Rattus norvegicus: one gene and its partners. The main gene of each other region encodes a partner of the protein of the gene in region 2 in a complex. Links are inferred from orthologs where the notes say so. Each region holds a gene or a part of one and is shown on either strand. Other genes may lie near its edges.

The links.
Region 1: Polr3f (region 2) and Crcp share a complex: the UniProt entries of both Homo sapiens proteins name them as parts of the RNA polymerase III complex. The link is inferred for Rattus norvegicus from reciprocal best matches to the Homo sapiens genes POLR3F and CRCP.
Region 3: Polr3f (region 2) and Polr3k share a complex: the UniProt entries of both Homo sapiens proteins name them as parts of the RNA polymerase III complex. The link is inferred for Rattus norvegicus from reciprocal best matches to the Homo sapiens genes POLR3F and POLR3K.
Region 4: Polr3f (region 2) and Polr3g share a complex: the UniProt entries of both Homo sapiens proteins name them as parts of the RNA polymerase III complex. The link is inferred for Rattus norvegicus from reciprocal best matches to the Homo sapiens genes POLR3F and POLR3G.

Annotation. Positions count from the first base shown.
Region 1 is NC_086030.1:32,292,920-32,297,071, forward strand, and holds the start of Crcp (DNA-directed RNA polymerase III subunit RPC9), read right to left. Parts: upstream 2,849-4,152; 5' UTR 2,835-2,848; coding exon 2,827-2,834; intron 1-2,826. UniProt on the Homo sapiens protein: DNA-dependent RNA polymerase catalyzes the transcription of DNA into RNA using the four ribonucleoside triphosphates as substrates.
Region 2 is NC_086021.1:152,368,239-152,371,799, reverse strand, and holds part of Polr3f (DNA-directed RNA polymerase III subunit RPC6), read right to left. Parts: intron 2,698-3,561; coding exon 2,630-2,697; intron 2,206-2,629; exon of another isoform or gene 2,098-2,205; intron 1,979-2,097; coding exon 1,911-1,978; intron 1,258-1,910; coding exon 1,145-1,257; intron 1-1,144. UniProt on the Homo sapiens protein: DNA-dependent RNA polymerase catalyzes the transcription of DNA into RNA using the four ribonucleoside triphosphates as substrates.
Region 3 is NC_086021.1:189,358,801-189,363,161, reverse strand, and holds the start of Polr3k (DNA-directed RNA polymerase III subunit RPC10), read right to left. Parts: upstream 2,814-4,361; 5' UTR 2,750-2,813; coding exon 2,639-2,749; exon of another isoform or gene 2,637-2,638; intron 1,430-2,636; coding exon 1,342-1,429; intron 1-1,341. UniProt on the Homo sapiens protein: Core component of RNA polymerase III (Pol III) which synthesizes small non-coding RNAs using the four ribonucleoside triphosphates as substrates. Can mediate Pol I proofreading of the nascent RNA transcript.
Region 4 is NC_086020.1:13,718,931-13,723,216, forward strand, and holds the start of Polr3g (DNA-directed RNA polymerase III subunit RPC7), read right to left. Parts: upstream 2,858-4,286; 5' UTR 2,208-2,857; intron 1-2,207. Other genes in the region: acyl-coenzyme A thioesterase MBLAC2, read left to right, coding at 2,858-3,311. UniProt on the Homo sapiens protein: DNA-dependent RNA polymerase catalyzes the transcription of DNA into RNA using the four ribonucleoside triphosphates as substrates.

The DNA of each region.
Region 1 (4,152 bases), on a different chromosome or scaffold from region 2:
CTCACTTAACATGCATAGCCCTGAGCCCCATCCCCAGCACTGCATAAACAGGGCAAGGTATCATATACCAATAGGAACAGCACTGGGAGAGTAGAGGCAGGAGGATGAGAAAAGCTTAAGGTCCTCCTGAGTACATATCAAGTTCAAGGCTAACCCTGGATAACATGAGACCCTACCGTAGGAAAAAAGGAAAAAGTAGGTAACAGACTGTCTAATGACTGGAAAGGAAAACAAGATACATTTTAATGTAAGCAACCTGACAAAAAAAGGTCAGAAATGTTTTTGAGGAACCGCCATCATAAAAATGAGTAGTGACTGAGAATACATGCAAAGGAAGTGCAAAGGAAGTGTCCCAAGATGAAGCACTAAGGCGTTCAACATTTAGACAGCAAAGGAGGAGGAGGAAGGAGAAAAGGACACCAAGCAGCAAGATGTAGGAGAGCCGGGGCGTGTTAGAGAGCTGACACTTTCCACGGTTTCTGACACCAGCTACCCAGAGATGGAGAAAGCTTAACCAGACTGAGCCTGAGCTACCCAGTCAGAGACCCCCATCTCAGAGACCGAATGGCTAATCTAATGTGGCTTGAGGTGAAGACAGGGCATCAGAATTCCATCATCCTCAGCTACATAGCCAAGTTCAAAGCCAGCCTGGGCTACTTATGACTCTGTCTCCAAAAAAAAAAAGTCTGACCAACTATAGTATCTATATAACAATTGAGCAGAAGACAAAGAAACATGAATAACAACACAATTTAGGTATGTCAACTGTGTACATATAAAGTCCGCAGGTGGAGTATATTCAAAAACTTCATTTGCCCATCAAGAAATATTTTCTTTATGGAAAAATAAACTGTTAGGGTGGCTTTGTTGTTGGTAGAGTGACTGTCTAGCATGCTCAGGTCCCTTCCATCCCAAACACCACGATATGATAATGGGGTGTGTGTGGCTTAGTGGTAAAGTACCTGTCTAGCATCCCTAAGTTCTATCCCTAGCACCACCTAATAATAATAGTAGTAATAATAATAATAGTGATAATAATGTTGTGGAAGGTGTGTGTTAAGCATGTGCAAGACCGTGGGTACTGGAGCTGGAGAGATGGCTTAGTGGTTAAGAGCACTGACTATGGCTTGGGGATTTAGCTCAGTGGTAGAGCGCTTGCCTAGCAAGCGCAAGGCCCTGGGTTCGGTTCTCAGCTGGGGGGGGGGGGGGGACAGGACACAAAAAACAAAAAACCACTGACTGTTCTTCCAGAGGTCATGAGTTCAGTTCCCAGCTACCACATGGGGGCTCACAACCATCTGTAATGAGATCTGATGCCCTCTTCTGGTGTGTCTGAAGACAGCTACAGTGTATTTGTATATAATAAATAAATATATCTTTTTTTTTCTTTTCTTGTCTAGCAAGCGCTCTACCACTGAGCTAAATCCCCAACCCCATAAATAAATAAATCTTTAAAGGAAAAAAAAAAAGACCGTGGGTACCGTTCCCAACACCACCAAATGAGGAGGAAGAGAAAGAAGAAGAGGCTATCCCAACAACAGCTGGAGAAATATCTCAGGAATTTGCCTAGTTGCCAGGTAGGAGTATTACATGCCTTTAGTCCATGCCTCCGAGGACAGAGGCAGGTGGATATCTGAGTTCAAGGCCAGCCTGGTCTAAAGAGCTTGTTCCAGGACAGCCAGTGCTCTACAGTGAAACTTTGTCTGGGGGGAGGGGGAGAAAACCTTGCCTGCTTTCCTGGTTAATCTTAACTGTCAACTTGAAACAGCCTAGAATCCTCTAAAGAAGCCTCAATGATAAACTGTCTTTTACCAAGTTGTTCTATGGGCGTGTCCACGAGGGACTGTCCCGATTATTAAATGATGCAGGAGGGTACCGCCTGGCCAACTGATGGTGGCACAGGCCTTTAATCCCAGCACTTGGGAGGGAGAGGCAGGCCTATCTCTGGGAGTTGAAGGATAGCCTGATCGACAGAGCTAGTTCCAGGAAAGCCACGACTACGCAAGCCCCAACACCCCCCCCCAAATAAATAGAAATAAAAAATAAAAGGGATGAGGGGTTATACAGACCGCGGCAGGTGCCACCATCCATGGACTGCTTCATAAAGAAGTTAGAAAACACAGAGAGTAAACCAGAGAGAGTTCTTGAACTGGTCTGAAGCTTCAGTTTCCTGTCTGAGTTCTTGCCCTGACTTCCCTCCATAATGAACTGTGTCCTGGAAGTTTAAGATGTAATAAACCCTTTCTACCCCTAGATTACTTTTGGTCATGGTGTTTGTCACAGTAACTGAAAGAAAACTAGCACAGCCAGTACTTTCACGACCCTGGGTACCAATTTCCAAAAGAACACGGCGATAACGGATGGCGATGCAGGTCAGTGGCAAAGGCTTTGCCTAGCAAAGTCCTGGGTACCATTTCCACCATTACAAAACAATGATGGCGGTGCTGATGGCTGGGGATCTGACTCAGTGGTAGAGTGTTTCCCCGAGCACATGCAGAGCCCACATCACAAGATGATTGTGACTGGCACGCATCTCAGGGTCACACTACTTCCAGAGCACGTGCAAGGTCTTGGGTTTCATTCCCAGAACCAGAAGAAAGAGAAAAAATAAAACCCCTCTCTATCCTTCCAACATTCCCCTCCCCAAAAGATACCGGAGGAGAGCGGGTTCCAACACCAGCAGGGTCCCTCCCCTGCCGCCCCACCTCCATGCACTTCCGGTCCGTGCACCCCGCCCACCCGCCCTGCTCGCGGGTCCGGAGGTCTAGCCGCCAGCCGCCTCACAGTCCCCAGCTGATTCTGCTTTCCCCTGGACGTGTCGCTTACACTTCCATGTTGCCTCTGCCTCGTCGTACACAACCGCTGGAAGAGAAGAACCTCACGTTACGCCAGCTCTGCTCTGCTCACCGTTTCTGTGTGTGTGCCGCAAGGCACTCTGGGACCGCCGTGGTGCATGCCGGGATCGCTGCAGGGCTCGCCCGGATCCTCCTTAATTCTAGGTGTTCCTACCTTGGTCTAATTTCAGCTTGTCGGGTGTTTTCATAGTGTAGGTTTTGTTAGGGTTTGCCTTGGCCACGTTAAAAATCCCTAAACCAGGCATGCAGCCCCACACCTGTAATCCTAGCACTAGAGAGGCCGAGACAGGAGAATTGTCATGAGTTTCTGGCCAGCCTGACCTACCTAATTACTTTCAAGCCATCCGAAGCTGTTTGAGACCTTGTGTTTAAAAAAACAAAAAACAGAAGCCAGGTATGGTCGCACAATCCTCTAATTCCAGCAAGGGGGAAAGAGGGAGGCAGAGAAACCCAGTCTCAAAAGACAGAGACAGAGCTGGAGAGATAGTTTAAGCACTTAGGAGGCTGAGGCAGGGGGAATGCCTTGAGTTTGAAGACAGTCTGGGCAACATGGTGAGTTCTAGTCAATTTAGACTACGTAGAGATCCTTTTCCCCATACAACCGTTAAAATTTGGGATGGGGAAGACAGATTTTCATTACTTAGCCTTTCAAACTCAGAGATCTGCCTGCCTCTGCCTCCCAGTGCTGAGATTAAAGGTGTGAGCCCCCACTGCTCAGCCATGTTAAAATGGTTTGCGGGTGATTGTGTTTGAGTTTTGTTTTGTTTTGTTTTTTGGTAAGTGGGGGGTGGTGTCTGGTATGATGACACATACCTGTAATCCCTCCACTTTGGAGATGGAGGCGAGAAAGTCAGTTTTTCATAATCCTCTTCAGCTACATGGGGAGTTTGAGGCCACCTGAGGCTACATGAGAACCCTGTCTCATAAAAACCAGTGTGTGTGTGTGTGTGTGTGTGTGTGTGTGTGTGTGTGTGTCCCACAATGGTGTTCATGGTGTTAGTCGGTCAACCATCTTACAATGATTGCCTCCCCCCTCAGGCACTGGTGATTCAGACATGAATAATACACACTCTCCATGCTAGCTGAGAACCCAGTAAGGGGACCAGTGCAGGGCATAAATCACTATGACACACTCTGTTTAGACTCTAGCATAGACAGGAGAATGACTAACATGGACAAAGAGGCGTCCCAAAGCCAGGAGTGTTTGAGGTGTGTGGAAAGAGGGTCGTTCAAAGCCAAGGCTTCAGAGATAGACTCATAGAAGACAGGCTACTGCCTTGGAGAGCCCCACCACAAA
Region 2 (3,561 bases):
CCATTCATTTCTACAAGTACTTAGGTCAGTCTCTATTCCTCTAACCCCTCGTGGTGTGGTTTCCAAAATTCTGTCACAGTTATTTTAATTTTTAAAATTAATTACTTCATGTGTGGGTATTGGTGTACATCTGGGCTATTACCCACAAAGGCTAGAAGAGGGAACTGAACCTGGGTCCTCTAAAGAGTAGTCAGTGCTAACTGCTGAGCCATATCTAACCACTACTTTCTGCATTCCACTCAGGCATCCCCTAATGTCTAAGTAACTTTTAAAATACTAAAACACAATGCAGATGATTGGGCATGGTAACATACACCTGGAATCCCATACTCAGGTGGTTAAGGCAGGAAAGATCCTGTATTCAAGACATTCAAGACCAGCCCTGGTTATATTATCAGACCTCTCTCTCAAAATAAAATAACACAGTACAATTAAGATTACTCCGTGCATTGTCTATAGGTTTCAACACATGCTTAAGGCTTTTGTTTTATAGAACAATTTAGCTGCCCCAAAACATCTCCTGTGTTTCATCTTTTCTACGTTCCCTAGGTCTAGCAAACATTTAACTTTTTACTGTCTTTCCCACAATGTCACCTAGTTGGAATCAGTGTTGCCTTCTCAATATGATTTCTCACACCAAGCAATAAGCATTAAGACCACTCTATGTCTTCACAATAGGTCATCTTTTTTATCACTGAATATTCCAGATAGAGAGAGATAGAAGGAAAAACACGTAAGAGACACAGAACAGGAATCTTTCTCTGACTTGGTCATTAACATACTCCAAGTGCAAAGCAGTACCTCTCTGTCATACTCCAAACAACAAACACTCGTTGAGTGACATAATGTGCTAGGAAACAACACAAAAACTAGGAAAGGTACTCAAGGCTCCAGACTCTATGTTTTCTATAGAGCACAGGACGAAGTAGGAATAGGTGAGACATCAAGAGTCCAGAAGGCAGCAAGTTAAAGTCAGCACAACAGGAGCTAAATTTTAGTCTTTAAAACAAAACAAAGTCCCAAAACCAACAACAACAAAAACATGTCTTAAATCCCACATAAATTAATGAATGAGAGGCTAACAAAGCTGGCACGGCTGCCTCAAGTGAAATCCACAATGGAACTTAGAAAGCCGACTACTCACTGCTACAGACTTCACAGCTTTAATAAGCTTTTTACTTTCCAAATTCTTGAGAATTTTGTTGATTTCTGTTAATGGCAAGTTGCTTTTGTACCGAATATCTCTGCTCCATATTCCTGTAAGAAAGTAGGAAAGCTGACAGCACTTCATTTAATATAAAGTTTAGAACTGTTCTCAGAAACTAAAACCCGAGAAACAAAACAAAACACACAACTGGGATAAAGAAAGACTACAAGAGCCAGTCATAAAGTGTCTGCTTTACATTCTAACTGAACATTTCTCAGAATCTTGGTGTGGTTTGTTTGTTTGGGTTTTCTTGTTTTGTGTTGTTTGTTTTTTGAGAGGGCCTCACTATGCAGCGGCTATACAGACCATCCTGGGGTGTGCACACAGTGGGGAGGAATACAAAAATTTAGCTGTTTCAATGCAGCATGTACACCTACTATTTAAACAACATTCTATTTGTAAGACAGAAAAAAAAAAAGCTATGATTCTTACATTCAATAAATACCCATTGTGGGAATTTATGAGTTTTCTTTCAAACAAAGAAAGTTGTACACGAAGAAAGAGACTATGTATCAAACATAAATGCTTAGCTTCATGTAGTAACATGCTTGCAATCCCAGCAATCAGGAAGACAAGGCAAGAAGATACTGAGTAGGAAAGCCTGGTCTACATGATGGGACCCTCTCTTAAAAAATAAAATGAACAGAGCAACACAACTTTAGGTCTAGACCTAAAGACAAAGCATCGCCCTCCACATGCTCACCTTTATTCCCTGCATCCTCTATGATTTGGTAGACTAGCTTTTCCTGGTTATCGGACCCCTTCATTTTACTGCAGGGAATAAAGCAGAGTAAAAAAGGAAAAATTGTAGGCTATGTTATCATCTGCATGACTACTTAATTAGCAGACAAGGCTATCACACTGACTGATTTAGCAAAAGAAGGGCTTACCTTAAAAAGAATGAAAAAGAGCTGTGTGTACCAATATGAAAAGATGTCCAAAGTACAATAAATTAAAAAAACAAGTTACAGGACACTATGGATATAGCATGATCCAGTCTTAAAAAAAAGAAAAGGAAAAAAGCGATAACATATAAATATAGAATCGCCCATGAATATTTAAATCTATCTAGAAGAAATTACCTAGAGCAGTTACTCTGAGAAACTGAAGCACAGGACAAAAGGCAGGGGTGACGCGTTTACATCAGTTTCTTCTGTGTCTTTCAACATATAGTCTAAATTGTCTTTAACCTCATCATCACCCTGCCTCAGCCCCCATGTGTCAAGTCTATAGGTGTGTACCACATACTGAGCTACATTACGTACATACAGTCTCACATCGCTCAGGCTGGCCCTGAACTTTCTGCCCTGCTTCCCAAGTGCAGGCATATTGGTGTGTACCACAATACCCGTTACAATGTTACCAATTACTTTTGTAATAAACAAATTTTTCTAAAAATTAAAAAAATAGTTGCTTACTTACCCAGCATTCTGAGAATCCTTTATTCTATATAAAAGGCCTGTATTACTCCGTAAAAGATCCAACTGACCCTAAAGTGTTTTAAAATAGAAAATTGTAATCAATTACTCTGGAAATATATCAATTCTGATGGCAAGTGTTACCACAGTTTTAAATGTGTTGATTATACCCACTAAACTGTTCTGCCTCCCACGCTTGTCAGTTCTTCATCTGAGACTGGGGATTTGCTTACACACCTCAAACAAGGTATTTTTAAAAACTAATATAAGGATAGTTCAAGCAAGAGATACTAATAGTGTCCCACATACTAAGTTGGCTTTGTTATTTGGCCAAGGCACAAACATGTTTTTAAAACAGTCTATTGTATTCCTTAGTCAGGGGTGATGGTGGTGATGGTGTGGCACACGCCTTTAATCCCAGGGCTCAGGAGGCAGATGCAGGCAGATCTGAGTTTTAGGCCAGCCTAGTCTATAGAGTGAGTTCCTGGACAGCCAAGGCTATACAGAGAAACTCTGTCTCAGGGGAAAAATTATTCTATTTCTTAATGTATTTTGCTAGCATATATGTCTGTGCACCATGTGTATACAATGCTCATGGAGGCCATAAGAAGGCATTGAGGGCTGGAGAGATGGCTCAGTGGCTAAGACTGCTCTTCCTGTTCAATTCTCAGCAACCACATGGTGGCTCACAACCATCTGTAATGGGGATCTGAGGTCCTCTTCTGGTGTGTCTGAAGAGAGCGACAGTGTACTCATATACATGAAATAAATAAATAAATAAATAAATAAATAAATAAATAAATAAGACAAACCATCCTGTATGTGGGTATTAGAAATCCAACTCAGGTTTCTGTAAGAGCAGCAAATGATCTTAACCTGGGGGATGAGGAGACAGCTCAGCAGTTAAGAGCACTAGGGGTTGGTTTGATAGTTGTT
Region 3 (4,361 bases), about 37 Mb from region 2:
AACAAATCAAGATGTAAACATTTACTTTTTAATACCTCCAGTTGCAAATATCAACCCCCCCCCCTAATTTTTTATAATTATTTTATGTGCATGTTTTGCCTTTGGGTAGTCTGTGCACCACGTTCATGCAGTGTCCCTGGATGCAAGTAGAGGGTATTAGATCACCTGAAAGTACAAGTACAGAAGGTCTGAGCTGCCAGGTGGAAGTTGGGAAGGAAACCCAGTCCCATGCTCTCAACCACTGAAATCCTACCCCACAGCTATTTATCGGTTGACAGAATGGCTGAGCCAGGGTCTCAAAAAGCCCAGATAAGCACTGAGCCTTCTGCCTCCACTCAGAGAGCACCAGAATCGTAACTGGAATCATAAGCTTGAGCAACCATCCTTCGTCCACAGTTATAATTTTTTTAAATCCATGTAATAAAAAATAAAACGAAATGAAAATAAAAGACTAGGGCTGATCATTTTCTCAGTGTTGGTATTTGAAAATACATACAACACAATTTTCATGAGAAGTCCACACCCACTAGAGCATGGATCCCCCCTTCCCAACAACTATATATAAATCAATGCTGAAATTTTTTGTAATGAACTCTAAATTTGCTTCAAAAAGAGAATATTTGCCAGATTTATTTTTTAATTATACTTGTCCACATCGGACTTGAGACTCTAAATGAAACAACGGTTCAGGTATCACTATAGTAACTTTGCTTTAAAGAATCCTTGAAAGAATCTACTTTTAAAAAAATGTTATTACAGCCAGGTGTCAGTGGCAGATACTTTAGTACCAGCATGTGGGAGGCAGACAGGTGGATCTCCGAGGTCAAGACACTCAGAGCTACACAGTGAAACCAGGTCTCAAAAAAACAAAATCAATTAACAACAACAAAAATGTAAAAGACTTTAGAGTGCCTACACTGTAATTAAAACACATCACCAAAATATTTCATGCACTAGCTATTTGATATTACATTGTTATTTACATCTTCTTAAGTTCTTTTACACTTGTGCACGCCCATGTGTGCATGGAGGGTGGTACAAAATCTTCCCATGAGTCAGTTCTCTCCTACTATCTGGGCTCCAAGAATCAAACTCAGGCTAACAGATCTGGCAACAAGTGCTTTTACCAGGGTATCTTGCTGGCCCTAATAACAGACAGGACTGCATTATAATACTAAGTTTATTATTAGTATTAAACACCGAGGGCTGGAAATACAGCTTTCTGGGTTCCAACACAAGCACCACACACACAAACTAGCGAAACAATATAAATATAAAATATAATAATAAGTAATAACAAACAAGGTTGAGTCACTGGCTCTGTTACGGGAAAATCCTCACCTGCAGTAGAGTCCACATTCTCCCAGGCAGCTGCTCCACCAAGCACATCATCCACTTCTTTTAGCTTTGGATACTTTCGGTTTGTTACCTAACAGACACAAGCCACCAGATTGGAAGTAATTGTACAGTTTTACAAGTCGGTCACTAAGCCACAACTCCCTCCAGCATTTCCTCTACAAAATTTGTCTTCTTCAAAGAGCAGTGTGAGTCACTAAAATGTAGGGGTTTTGTGACTCGGATGTTCCTCCAAACAGAACAGAGGTTCTAGAGGTTCAGACCTCTAGAGACCGAAGGAAACACCAGACAGAACTGAAAGGAAAAAACAGCCTAGTAAAACCTTGCTCTTCTCTCATACCCCTAGGACACCTAATAATCCAACAGGAAAGACAGACAAATGAAGTCACTTAGCTGGGTATACCAGCACCCCAGGTCACATTTGGATGCTTTCCTATGTTTATCAGGCATCCCTGGAAATTAGAAATTCTGTCACAATTCATCTTACCACAAATCCTGACTCTAAACCCCTACCACACAGCTCTAATGTGCAAACATTAGGAACGAGGAGTCACCAAGGCCCAGTGCTGCACAACTGCAGTCACTGAACTAAGGCACGGAGGTAAAGAGGAACGGGAATTAAGGTACACAAAACACCGAGGGCTGGAAACACAGCTTGCTGGGTTCCAACACAAGCACTACACACACAAAGTAGCAACAACGATATAAAACATTAGAAGACAATGAATTCTGTGAAAACCTTAAGGGAATGAGGATAAACAGAAAGAACTGGGTTTGGCTTTTCTGTGCTCTGTGTGTGCTATGCAGCCCAGATGAGCCTTGAACCTATTCTCCTGCCGAGTGCTAGAATTATAGGTGCACAAACAGCCGCACGGGCTGACATTTAAATAAGGCAGCCATTATTTTAAAAGAGGAGAGGGAGAGAGAAACAGGGAGGCACACATGCACCAGAGACGGGGGAAGAGGGAGACGAGAACGAGAAGTGCGTCACTCTGCGTAGTTATTCAGGGAAGACCGACTCGGGCGGAGGGAAGAACCTGACAGCACTGCGTGCAAGAAGATTCTCAGGAATCAAGATAGGGGATGGGAGCAAACGAGCAACTAAAGAACCCGAGGATTTGAAATCAGAGGTGAGGAGCGGACTGGAATCTGCGAGGTCCAGCGTAGGGGGATGAACTAAAATTCGCACAATTTCTGAGCGGGCAGCGGGGAGGTCCGAGCGCGCCGACGCCTGCCCTGGGCCCCGCGGACCGCAGGGAGAGCTCCGGCCTGTGGACCTCACCTTGCGGGTGATGTTATGGACGTACGGGCACGTGTTGCAGGCGAAGCGGTGACAGCGCTGCCCCTCCTCCACAATGAGGCCGTTCCCGCAGCCCGGGCAGAACAGCAGCATTGCTCAGCTCCCACACGGCGGCTCTGTGTGGCGCTGCCGAGGTTCAGGCGCCCAATCTGAAGCCGTCTCCCTTCCTCCGTTACGGGCAACCGGCGATCGGCAACACGTTCCCGGTAGGCACTGCGGCGGGCAGCCTCGCGCATGCCATTGGTCACCGCCGATGACCCTTCCCCATCCAGCCAATTGCATGCTGTCTGCACTCGCTGTCCGTGTAGCTTCTGCGCGTGCGCACATCTCCCTAGCTGAAACGCAAACTAATGGTGCCGGCAGATGGCAGCACCTGGGGAGCCTGATGGTGGTGAGCCGGACTGGGTGATGAGGTGCTGCTGAGCTGCAGTATCTAGGCCTGGAAACTTCTACCCTCTGTAAAATCTAATTCAGGCCTAGAAGGTTTTCAGCTTCTGAGACTCACTGCGGAATAAGCGCACCCCTTCTAGTTCTGAGCGCTGGTTGGCTGGTTCAACTCAGCTGTTCCGGCTCAAACTGATTGAATTTGGCTTCTCTCTCTCAGCCTTTCCTCAATTGCTCTGCTTGGCCTCATACTAACTTTGACAATCTGTTCTAATCTTCTGGCACATTCTGTCTTCATCTGTGTCTAGTTTGTTCTCTGTAAAAACTGTCCCAGGAAAACTGCCTCCTTCTCTCTCATGAGAGTTGGGCATACCCTATTCTGTACAAAAAAACAAAACAAAACAAAACAAAAAAAACAAAAAAAAAACTCTCTAATTCCCCACTTTGTCGGACACTCAAACATCACTTTTAAAAAAAATGATTTATTTATTTAAAGTACACTGTAGCTATCCTCAGACACACCAGAAGAGGGCATCAGATCTCATTACAGACGAGATGAGATGTGGTTACTGGGATTTGAACTCAGGACTTCTGGAAGAACAGTCAGTGAACCACTGAGCCATATCTCCAGCCCTAGACATCATTTTCAAATATGGGTGATACCTTCTACAATCTAACCTGACCTTCATTGTTGGGCATTAAAGGAGCATTCTAAGGGCGTGTCTGTATTCCAGCCAGCGGGATTAAAGGTTGTGTGCCAAGGGCCGAGTCACACCACAACTAGAAACAGGTTTTTCCAGTAAACACAATCCCAGAGTTCATGGTATGATAAAGAAAAAGCCTGCAACAATGAACCTCCAGCTTCCAACCTTAGTCCTGAAGAGCTGATCTAAAACAGCTGGATGGTAGGTATTCCAGTAATAGCCTGAGGTCTACCATGTAGATTCTGGAGGCCCATGCGCAACACATGCACACTTTTCCTAGTCACTTGTGTCTCCTTGTTCCCAAATATTTGCAGGTGAAGAGGCTAAAGCATGGAGCCCCAGCTCAAGTCTCTGTTGGTTAACTCTGCATGTTTCTTTGAGGGATTCTTGGGGGGATAATTTAGGGGCTCTGATCATTATTTTACTAGGAACTGAGAAGCAGCTCAGTACAGGTGGGAGACCCATCATTATCTTTGCAAGGATTCTTGACAGAAGTGTGAAGAATGCAAACTACAACCCATGCCCAGAACAGGACTTCAACAACATCCCTCACAGGATGATCCAGAAAATAAAGTTGAAAGTCAGAGGCGATGTGCCCCAGGCAGCCACAGAGACTA
Region 4 (4,286 bases), on a different chromosome or scaffold from region 2:
GGAGGTTAGAAGAGGATGTCAGATCTCCTGGATCTAAGGTCAACGGTGCTTGTGAGCCACTTGGTGTGGTTGTTAGGAACTGAACTCTGATCCCCTACAAGAGTAACATGAGCTCTTTGTTGCTAAGCCATCTTTCCAGCCCCCAAATCTGAAATTTAAAATGCAACATGGACAAGTTCGCACTGCCCCTTCCAGCTCAGAACGCTGCCTCAAAATTCCCATTTGGAATCTGTTCCAAGAGATTTAAAAATGGGCGTTATTCAAGAGACCAAAGTCTATCCTAACCATCTCCAAACACAACCACCTGGAAAATGGTGAGTTCATCTCTACAATTCTTCCTAGATCTAAAATGTCATGAGTTATGATTGTGACTTAAATGTATCATCCTCGTGTACACACAACCTTACACATTTAAGGAGATGAGTAAATGTTCAACTAGCTGGAGGTCAGGGGAGACAGCAAAAGCCAGGTCACAGTATCTCTCTGAAGAATGACCATTAGCTGTGTGTTCCCTAGTCTTCTCCTTTCTTCTGCATTAGCTCAGGCCTTAGCATTGCTCATCTGACCCTTTGAAACATGCTAGACATTTTATGTCCAGATTCCTATCATTCTCAACCAAACTCTTGTCAATTTAATAGAAGGCAAATCTTTACACTTCCGATATACTGTTCTCTTCAGTTTAACAAAGCTCAGGACATTTAACTTCTGCTTCTCACCAAGTAACTGACTGTTGGTTTTCTGCCTCCCCAGGGAGAGTCTTTGACCATCCACTGGCGTCTTTATGAAGCCCTAACCCTAACCCTACCTCTGGGTCAAACCATCCTCTCTGCTGGAAATAGAGAGGTGAACAAAATAATGTCTCTGCGCTTATGGAGTTCACGGACAGGAGAACCTGTCAGAGCCTGACAGATGGTGTGAAAGTGAAGCAGGAACCAGGCCAGATAAACTAGTCATTTGGGACTATCTGAGCATAAATTTAATTAAGATGAGAAACAGAGTCATATTGAAAAGAATAAAAGAGTCATCAGAAACTGTAGGTCCAAAGGCCTCTAGAGCTAGGCACAAGCTGGATAATCATCACTGAATTATTTCTGAGCTCATGACCACAGAACAACACTGTGCCATCTTACCGAGTGCCTCCCTTCTGCCGCAGAAGCATAAAGTAAAGAGGGCACTGTGTTTCTCTGTGGAGAACACCTTCTTAGGCAGAACCCAATTTTTGCATTCATGATGCATTAGTTAACAAGTATTTGTGTACAAGTGTCAGCTTCCTCAGATTCTTGAGAACTCAAATCAGACTTTTCTTTAAACAGTTTTCTGCTTGTCACACATCATTTAGTTCAGGCACTAGTGCTAAGAATGGTCCCAATTGCATAATTGAATAATAGATGAGATTAGCAAAATACTCAAAAGAGCAGCGACCTGCTCCCACACCCACTGGAGAGTTTGGGAGTGTAGGAAGAATGCATCTCTCCCTCCAGGAAAGACTTATGTGCCACAGGAAGGATTTTGCTAATTATCTTTGATAATGCTGTCCCCGTGGGTCTCTTTATAATTTCTGAAGGTTAGTCAAATTCTCAAGGGAATTTCTGAATCTGAAAGAGATGCATCGGTAGCTAATGGTTGGGGTGCAAGCACAGGGACTTGATACTGACAGTGGGGGTGATTTCGGTTGCTTGCAAGGCCACACCCAGTGATTATCCACTTTCCCTGTCCCCTCAAAGTGATCTCTGCCTTGCCTTAAGCTCTAACCTTTTCTGCTCTCTTCAAAGAGCAAGGAAACACCCAGAACTATGACGGGCATTTAGGATCTCCTTAAAGAAAAATTCTATCACCAGCCCCTCTCCCCACTATCAAAGGTGCCAACAGTTAAGAAAAAAGAAGCGATGATAAGTATGCCCTTATTAGCCAAACTGCCGCCAAACTTTACATGAACAAAAACCACAGTCCCCGGATTTGCAAAGTCTTCTCTTGTAAAAGGATAAACTTCCAGCGTGAGGCTGGAAGATCTGGCTACCAAAACTTTTAAAGGTTTGGAAGCCGGCAGCAGCAGGCTTTGGGAGGTAGGGGTACAGCCCAAAGTCACTCCAGAGGGGCTTTGATGAATTTTGGCTCCAGATTATCGGACCACCACGTTCTCCACGTGCCCCATCAACTCCCTTCTACCCTCTTCACCTCCAGCCCAGTCCGGGATAGTTTCCAGTTACCTTCTCACCAAGTCTCGAGGCTTGGGCACACTGTGCAGCGATGGTGGCAGGAAAGCTGGCAGTCGCGCCAGCAAGGAGCAGCAGATTCCACCTCCGGAACAGCGAGAACCTCACCGCACGCGGCTCCGGCTCAGGGTAGCGCACTGGAAGCCCCGCCCACTCTACGAGGCCACACCCCCGGAAAGGAGCTTTTTAGCCCTTGGCAGGCGCCGTAGTCAACCTCCAACTGGCTCGGCCTCACTCTGGCCTCCCGCTACGAGTGCGCAGCGCCCGCGGCCCGTGTGGGGGCGGTCCTGTCTCTTCCCACGCATCCCTCCAGGCCTCTGCAGTCGGAACCCCGAGCAGGGCAGCATTGCCCGGTGTCTCCGCCCCGCTTCAGCGGCCTGTGTCACCGCCTTGGTGCTGCAGCTGCAGAAGCTGCGGCAGCTGGGGTGCAGTCTTTGCGCTCTGCGGCTTGGACGGGAGGGCGAGGAACAGGCGATCTGGGCAGTGTCGCTGCGTCCTATCCGCGCTCCCTTCCGCATCCCCGCCCCTCGATCGCGCCTCCTCCGGAGCTGAGAGTAGCTCTTCGCTCACTGCAGCAGCGGCGAGTCCTGGACTGCCTGTGGGAGGCACACCCACCTTGCCCGGCCGCACCCCTGCGCATCGGCATGTCGGCACTCGAGTGGTATGCCCACAAGTCTCTGGGCGATGGCATCTTCTGGATTCAAGAACGGTTCTACGAGTCAGGCAACCGGGCCAACATCTGGCTGGTGCGCGGCTCGGAGCAGGACGTGGTGATCGACACGGGCCTGGGGCTACGCAGCCTCCCGGAGTACCTCTACTCCTCCGGCCTCTTGCAGGATTGTGGTGCCAAAGAGGATGCAGGACGTCGGCCGCTGCTGGCCGTGGCCACCCACGTGCACTTTGATCACTCCGGCGGGCTCTATCAGTTCGACCAGGTGGCTGTGCACCGCGCCGAAGCCGAGGCCCTGGCTCGCGGGGACAACTTTGAGACCGTGACCTGGCTCTCTGACAGCGAGGTGGTGCGGGCGCCCAGCCCTGGCTGGAGGGCCAGGCAATTCCGAGTGCAGGCAGTGCAACCCACCCTCATTCTGCAGGATGGTAATAGGTCCCGGGGGCGCGCGCTGTCTCTGAGGGAGGGGCTTGGCGAGCGTGTACAGCTTGTTGCAGACCTCCGTGGCACTGTTGGGCTACCGTGCGGGAATACTCTGACTCACCCTTTGCTGCGTGAAAGCCAGCTTGGGCAGAGCCTAGGCCCACTCAGTCTTCTCTGCCAGGAGATGCGCGCTGCTACTGTGTGGCTGTTTATTTGAAAGCTCACACCATCCCCAGTCAGTCGGCTACGGTAGTTACACTGCAGAGACTTGTGACTGGAGATATTCCATTCTTTTCCCAAGTACCAGTTGAACATTTCCAGCTTTTGTAACGAGTAGGCTTTTAAGATATGGCACCTTGTGGAGAGTGTTAGGCTCTGTGCTCTGAAAACTGCTGACTTCTGCTGCCTGCGCACTGCTCACCGCAGAGTGCCTCAGTCTCACCTGTAGACTTAGAGAGCTTTCGTCCATCCTTACCTTTCAGATGGATTTGTTTGCTTATTGCCTCTCAAAAAGAAAAAAGGCTTGATGGTGGACATGAACGTAGAATTATGACAGCTATCTGGTCTGGATGAGAGCGAGGCCTAAGAACGATCAATAAGGGAGTTGTTTCCCATGGATAAAGTGTGTGCATTAATTAATGCAGACTTCATTCTCTTGGTCCTAAGAAATTGATAAAATGGAGCAAGATAGAGTAGGGTCCCAATCCCCTTCTCCCCATGCAGGACTGCACTAATTGAACTGGTTAGCGACAACAGCAATACTTGGTATATCAATTTTATATTTTTTGCCTTAGGATTTATTTATTTACATCCCAAAAGCTACTCCCCCCTCCTGCTCCCTCCCTCACAGAGACTCCCTCATCCCGTCTCCCCTTCTGGGAGGGTGGAGGCCCCCTGGGTATCCCTTCCCCCACCCCCAGCACATCAAGTCTCTGCCAGATTAGGTGCATCCTGTCTCACTGAGGCCAGACAAGGCAGCT